2 linked regions of the Oryctolagus cuniculus genome follow. The main gene of each other region encodes a partner of the protein of the gene in region 2 in a complex. Links are inferred from orthologs where the notes say so. Each region holds a gene or a part of one and is shown on either strand. Other genes may lie near its edges.

Region 1 (2,895 bases), on a different chromosome or scaffold from region 2:
CTGTCCCAACTGCCCCACACACGTCTCCAGCAGTTCCTGCTCAGAAGTGCTCCCAGCCACCCTGGGCAGTGAGAGCTTGCAGGGACCATGGGGGCTCCCCCTGCACCCCGCCTCCATCCCAGAGCACTGCCCTGGTCCCCACCTCCATCCCCACACACAGCTCTCTCCCAGACCCCCACCCGGGGGTGGCCGGTGGGGAGTGAGCACCCAGCCTCAGCGCCTGCACACGACGCGCCCCTCTGTCACCCCACGGGGCCCAGTCTGAATACTGCTCCCTCCCAAAACAGCCCTGAAGGAAGGGGAGGCCTGGCGCTCTTTGGAGCAGACCAGGGAGGCAGAAAAGGCCACAGAAGTCCTGGGGCTCCAGGTCAGGCTGGGTGGGGGGTGTGGGCTCAGACCCCCCCCCGCCCCCGCTCCCACCTCTCACCTCCCAGTGAGAACATCTGCAAAACAGGAGCCCCCACCCCCCACCCCCGCTGGGCAGCAAGCAGCAGGCACCGGTAAATAAATAGCTCGTTTATTAGTAATATGTTACATTATTATTAAAGTGCATTGAGAAGAGATGCAGGGGCCCCAGGCCCAGCCCCAAGCAGCCAGACCCAGCCGGAGAAGGGGCCCAGCTCTCGGGACAAAATCCACGGCCGGGGTTGGGGGCAGGGCCGTCCCCACGGAATTTTTCACAGTTTAGCTTAAGTTATGACGAGTCCTGAGCTGAAGGTGGGAGGCTAGGAGCATGGAAGCACAGCCCCCAGGGAAGGGGGCCGAGGGGCAGGGAGGAGGCGCCCCCTGCCTCCCCGACCCCCAACGCCAAGGGGCTGAGTCCTGGAACCTCCCCCTGAGGACTTGGCTCCGTTCCGCAACACCAACGGTGCACCCAGGGCTTCCTTCTCGCCTGTCTCCCGCACCCGACCCTGCCCACAACCACCCCCTCCCCTGGAGGGGGGGGGCCTGGACAATGTCCCCTGGGACCGAGCTCCCAGGCCAGGGCCAGCTCCTGCCACCCTTCCCGAACTTACCCCGGTCTCCGGACCCTCATCCCACCCCACCCCCGCCCCCCTGGGAGCCTCGGACAGGGACCACCCTCTCCCCCAGTCCCCTCCCCGCCACCCCCCACCCCGCCCCCAGCAAGGGCTTTTGGTATTTTCATACGGATGCAGTCGGAAGTAGCTATACATGAAATAAGTCTAACATAAAAATAGAGCTTTTTCCGTCCTTCTGCCCGGAAAGCAAACATCCTCCATAAACATGCAAGGCGGCCGTCCGGCGGGACCCAGGGCCGCGCGAGGGGGCCTGGTCTGCAGGATGCCGGCCGCCCAGGGGAAGCAGGCAGTGGAGAAAGGGGGGCCACAAGGCCCCGGACGGACCTCAGCCCCGAGGCCCAGCTGCCCTCTCCTGACCCCTGCGGGTGGGCATCGCTGCCCTAAGTCCAAGCAGGAGCTTTTGGAAAGTCTAAGTCCTGGGACATCCCCGGTGCTGCGGCCTCTCGGTCTGTCACTGCCCCTCCCGGGGCCCCGCAGCCGCCCGCGGCTGGGCTGGACGTCCCCCGGGGGCTCCTCTGACCCGGGGAGGCAGCAGCAGAGGAGGGGCTCCCGGGCCAGCCGGCTCTGAGGAGGAGACTTTTGGAGAAGCCCTGGGGCGTCGGAAGCCTGGGGCGTGGGCAGCCCCCGGGGAGGGGGGTGGGTTGGGGGTCCCTAGTGGACCAGCAGGCCGAGCGCCAGCGTGGGCAGGACCCCCAGCCAGAGGGAGGCGGCCAGGGCGCAGGCGCTGCCCATCAGGTGCTCGGCCAGGGCGCGGTCCTCGGGCAGCAGCTCCCAGTGCTGGGCTTCGCGCAGGTAGGAGCCCTCCTGGGCCTCGCAGCGGTAGTGGCCGTACTGGCGGGCCGTGAGGTTCTCGATAAACAGGATGCAGCTGGGGCTCTGGTGGCCCGGCTCGCAGCTCTGCTCCACGCTCTCCTCGTGGCGCCACGAGTAGGTGGCGTGGCGGGACTCCATGGGGCAACTCAGGTAGTAGCGGGAGTTCCGGGCCAGGGACACCTTCTGCAGCGGGGCCTCATCTGGGGGGGTGGGGAGGGGCCGGGGCTCAGCGGGGAGGGTCTCCCAGTGAACCCGGGGTGTGTGGGGGGCAGCCCCCTGCTCTTCTGTTCTCCCCGGTCTCCCTGCTCCCACCCCTCCGGGGGCCTCAGCACGAGGCCACGTCCCCTCCCACCAGGGCACCTGGGGCTCATCGCCGTACCTGGCTTGGGGTTGGGACACTCCTTGTGCGGCTCAGCGGGGTTGATGGACTGCAGCACTGCCCTAGGGCGGGAAGGGGGAGACCGGCTCAGCACAGGGGGTTCAGCCCTGCGGCCCACCAACCCCTCCCCCGCTCCCCGTCCCCTTCTCCCAGGGACGACCTACCGCTGGGAGCTGTAGATGGAGACGCAGCGGCCCTGGTCCCAGCCGCAGTAGGGGTCTCGGGACATGAGGCAGCCGTGGCAGCCCCCGCCGTAGGCCTCACACAGGTCCAGCGGCACCTGGCTCACCTCCCACTGGGACGTCACGTACAGCTTCCGCTGCAAGAGGTGGGCAGGGGCCAGGTCAGGCCAGGGCCGCTGAGTCCTAAGCCCCCAGGTGCTGGGGGGTCTGCCAGAGGCTGGACACACAGATCGCACGTGCAGGAGCCCCAGGACGGGGCTGGGCAGGGCAGGCTCACCCGGTCAGGGTCCAGCGACAGGGTCTGGATGGCGGCCGCTCGGCGGAAGGGCTGGATCTCCATGATGTTGAAGACGAGGCTGTGGGCCCCCTCCCCCGACTCCACCACCTTGTGGATGGTGCCCTTGTCTGTGGACGGGGCAGAGAGTCAGCTCAGGCTCAGACGACCCCAGGTGAGGGGTGAGAGGGGAGTGGCCTGGTGGGG
Region 2 (3,517 bases):
CCCGGGCCCTGCTGTTCAGTTGTCTTCTGTTCTACCAACACTTCTCGTTACCCTGGCCGGGTTTTTTTCACTTACAGGCAAAAATATAAAAATAAAGAAAGGCTTGTTTTGTACAAATAAAATTTGAGCGCTTACCATCACGGATCTCTTTGCGGAGCTCGCTCTCCAGTAGCTCCAGCTGTTGGCTCTGCTTGCGACTCAGCTCCTGGGATTTGTGCCTGGTCACCCCCACGGCCGCTGGGGAGAGAGAGAGAGACGCTCTGGTCAGAGGGACACGTGGACTCAGAAAGACAAACAACAGTGCAGACCAAGCTTTACCGCTGGCTCAATCAATAAGAGAAAGAGGGAGGAGCGTGTTTGAGAGCGGGGTCGATGGGGAAACTGGAAAACTGTGTTTAAGAGCTGCATTTTATAAAAAGAAAATTTCCCATGAAGAGGTCACTCTAAGAGGAAGATGCTAAAATACAACATTAAAAAAAAAAATCCACTCATCTTAAAAGGGAAAACTAAATCAAATAACCTTCACTTGTAACCAAAGATCCCAGTTGGCTGAAAAGTAATGAAATCAGCCCAGTTGCCCCGCAGCCGCAGGCCACTCATATTGTTCCATTCTTTTTCTGATGTTTCTAAACATCCCTGGAGAAATAAGGCTGTGCTGCAGATGCAGAAAGAAACCTCAGGTCCACACAGCGGGCTGCACTCGCGCAAGCCCAGCTCGCCTCGCGCTAACAGGGCGCCATGAGCTGGGAGCTGCCAAGATCGGGCTGCTCCTGCCACCTGACTTCGCTTCTCATTGTGCTGGCAAGGCAGTACACGGAAGGGAGCTGGTGCTTGGGCTCAGGTCCCTGCTCTGTCATGTGCGAGCTGGGTGACCCCCCGGGAAGTTCTTCGCATCTCTGTGCGCGGCTGCTTTATCTGTCCGAGTGCCCGCCTCATCGGGATGCTGGCAGACGGACAGTAAGTAAGTTACAGAAAACAGAGAGAACTCACACTTGAAGAAAAGTAAGTACTTGACAACCAAGGACCATTACTCCTTGAATTGCCCCTCTTCTAACAGCGATTACATGACACAAGCGCTCTGCTACCTTACACGTAAATGATGTGGGGAGAAACAAAGTCAATTATGGTCCTTCACTGGACCCGTTCACACAGCACGCTCTGTGCACTTCCCGGAAAGTGTAGGATGTCAGTGGTTCCCAAACTTCCTTGCCCGCGGGACCCCCCTTTTCAGGGGTGTCACCTGGGACCATGGTTGCTCAGGCTGCCCTTTGGGCAACCCTGGTTCACACACGCCAAGGAAGCTGGGAGGTTGCGGCCATAATGCAGGGAGTTTTTCCACAGCAGACGTCTCTGGGGGACATCTCGGAGGTGGCAGGCCCCGGGCCAGCTGGGACCGACTGCAGGTGCGGGTTGCACACTCCTGCCTGGAGTCACCGCAGGGAGGGGACCAGGAGGGCAAAGGGCTCTGCAGATCCAAATGCAGTCAAGAGCCCTGTGTCAAAACCAAGCCCAAGCCACCTTCAAGGGCAGCAGCAATCCCCGCAAAGTGGAGGGAGAGGCACAGAGAGCCCCGAATGGGCAGGGAGAAGCGGGCAGCTTCCCGGGACGCCCCTAAGTAGACGCGGCTCCTGGCCAGGCTGGCACAGGTCGTTAAGAGCCCCGCGGGTCTAGCCTGTGTGGGTAGCCTCCTTTCTCAGAGCCGACAGACAGCAGCCAGGAGTAGATGGAATTGCCAAGCCTGATTCTGGATTGCAAATATACAACAGGGGTGGGCAACTCGGGGGAGGGCATTATAAAAAAAAATCTGAAGCGATCATCCGCAGGGCAAAACGGGGTGCCGGCAGAGCGAATTCATCACATTAAGCCAGTTAATTACACACATAAATCTTTCCCTCACTGGACTGTGAACAACGCGAGGGGAAGGGCCGGGCCTTAACTCATCTCTAGATCCAGAGATTGGCACAGCTGTAGCAGCAGCATAACAGATGCTTAGTAAACAAGAGACGGATGAATGCAGGAAGGAGTGAACGAATGAGAGGAGGCTATGGAAGAAAACAGTAGCATCCGCCTCCATTCGCCTAAAACGTTACAGCATGAATGGCTGCATCCAATCAAAGGACACGAAGGGCCAGCTTCGTTGGTGGAGGGAATTCTTTTTTCAACGAAGGATGGGGGGAAACAGAAATGAAAGGCAGCTCAGAACCAGAGGTTGCAAACCAAATGGCCACAGGAACCAGACACTCAGATGGATCAAGTGGTCTGGAAGAAGTTAATAGGGAGCGGTGGAGACTGTGGTGAACACCCAAGGAGCACACGGCCTGTCTGGGAGGGCAGCTGCCTCTCAGCTCCAGTAAACTGACGCTGTGGAAAAACTGAGATTCATGGATCCCAATCTTGCAAACTGTCAAGAGATTTTTTTTTAATGTAAATCATCTAATTTTCAAATGTTGTCAGCTTCTCTCAGACTTGAAGAAATGTCCTGTGGCCAAATAAAACCCAACAGTGAGCCACATAGGTCAAGGGGATCAGCAGGGGATTTCGGCACGCTGGGGAGCCTGGGAACATGTCAACAGGTGACCCCGATTTCACGTCTAACGTCTGGTTCTGCCAGGGAAGGCAGGGCTGAGGTGGAAGTGGGAGGCAGCGCCTGCTGAGGGGAGAAGGTGGGAGGAGGGAACCCAGCCCTGGGAGTCTGGAACCCCAGAGGAATTCTAAGAGAATGACCCAAGCGGGCATCTGCGGCCGTGGCCCAGGCCAAGTGGAGTCTGGTCCTCACACCCCAGGACCCCATCTTTGAAATGCACTCTTGTATTCACGAGGCCTCCTTAAAAATGTGCAGAAAGCGCTCAGCCTTCCCCAGAGTTCTGATCTGAGTTCTCCCCCGTTCACACTCAACGGCAGCAGAGAGCCTGAGAGAGGCCGCTGGGGAGGATTCCTTTGGCCAAACTACACAGGGCACTTACCAAAAATGACGATCACCAGCAAGACGGGGAGCACGATCAGAAAATACCACGTGGAGGGGACCGACTCCTGCTCCACAAACAGCTCCAGGTTCCCCAGCTTGACCTGCAAGGACAGACAGCATCACCAGACCCCACGGAGCCGGGGCCCCCACGATGCGTTCCACCCGAGCCCGAGCCCGGGGAGACGGCTGAGCTCCAGTCCCCTCTCGGGGACAGAAAGGAACAGCCCAAGGGCCTAGGACCAATCGGGAGGAGGCAGCCCGAGGGTGAGCAGCACCCCGACACTTGCTTCCCAGGGAGCAGCCCAACTCTTGCCTCCTCCTCTCCTTGCACAGTCAGGGTAGGCTTATTTTGAATAACACACCCTATGGTAAAAGCCATGTGGGTCGTGCTGACCCAATGACCCCTGAGGGACTTTTTCAGGCTTAGCATGCTTGCTTGCTTGCTTGCTTGCTTTTCTTTGAGATTTTATCTATTTATTTGAGAGGTAGAGTTACTGACAGAGAGAGGGAGAGAGAAATCTTCCATCTGCTGGTTCACTCCTCAAATGGCCC

What was found. Proteins that work in one complex are often made in the same cells at the same time.
Region 1: the proteins of PLXNC1 (region 2) and SEMA7A are in contact, whole or in part, in a crystal structure (PDB 3NVQ), measured with the Homo sapiens proteins. The link is inferred for Oryctolagus cuniculus from reciprocal best matches to the Homo sapiens genes PLXNC1 and SEMA7A. Residues at the interface, in NP_005752.1 of Homo sapiens: Arg131, Thr151, Glu152, Val153, Asn195, Pro196, Ala197, Ala198, Ser199, Asp200, His201, Thr203, Ala206, Lys208, Arg213, Ser214, Leu215, Ala216, Thr217, Gln218, Glu219, Leu220, Arg222, Lys224, Glu272, Ala350, Ser352, His353; in NP_003603.1 of Homo sapiens: Gln194, Tyr196, Asn197, Gly198, Lys199, Arg202, Arg204, Tyr213, Ser215, Asp216, Thr217, Gln270, Gly271, Gly272, Glu273, Ser274, Ser275, Leu276, Val278, Ser279, Lys280, Pro372, Thr375, Glu376, Phe378, Gln379, Asp382, Arg383.

Annotation. Positions count from the first base shown.
Region 1 is NC_091443.1:109,255,719-109,258,613, reverse strand, and holds the end of SEMA7A (semaphorin-7A), read right to left. Parts: intron 2,820-2,895; coding exon 2,692-2,819; intron 2,552-2,691; coding exon 2,397-2,551; intron 2,295-2,396; coding exon 2,233-2,294; intron 2,054-2,232; coding exon 1,692-2,053; 3' UTR 502-1,691; downstream 1-501. UniProt on the Homo sapiens protein: Plays an important role in integrin-mediated signaling and functions both in regulating cell migration and immune responses.
Region 2 is NC_091442.1:97,251,968-97,255,484, reverse strand, and holds part of PLXNC1 (plexin-C1), read right to left. Parts: intron 3,067-3,517; coding exon 2,964-3,066; intron 238-2,963; coding exon 136-237; intron 1-135.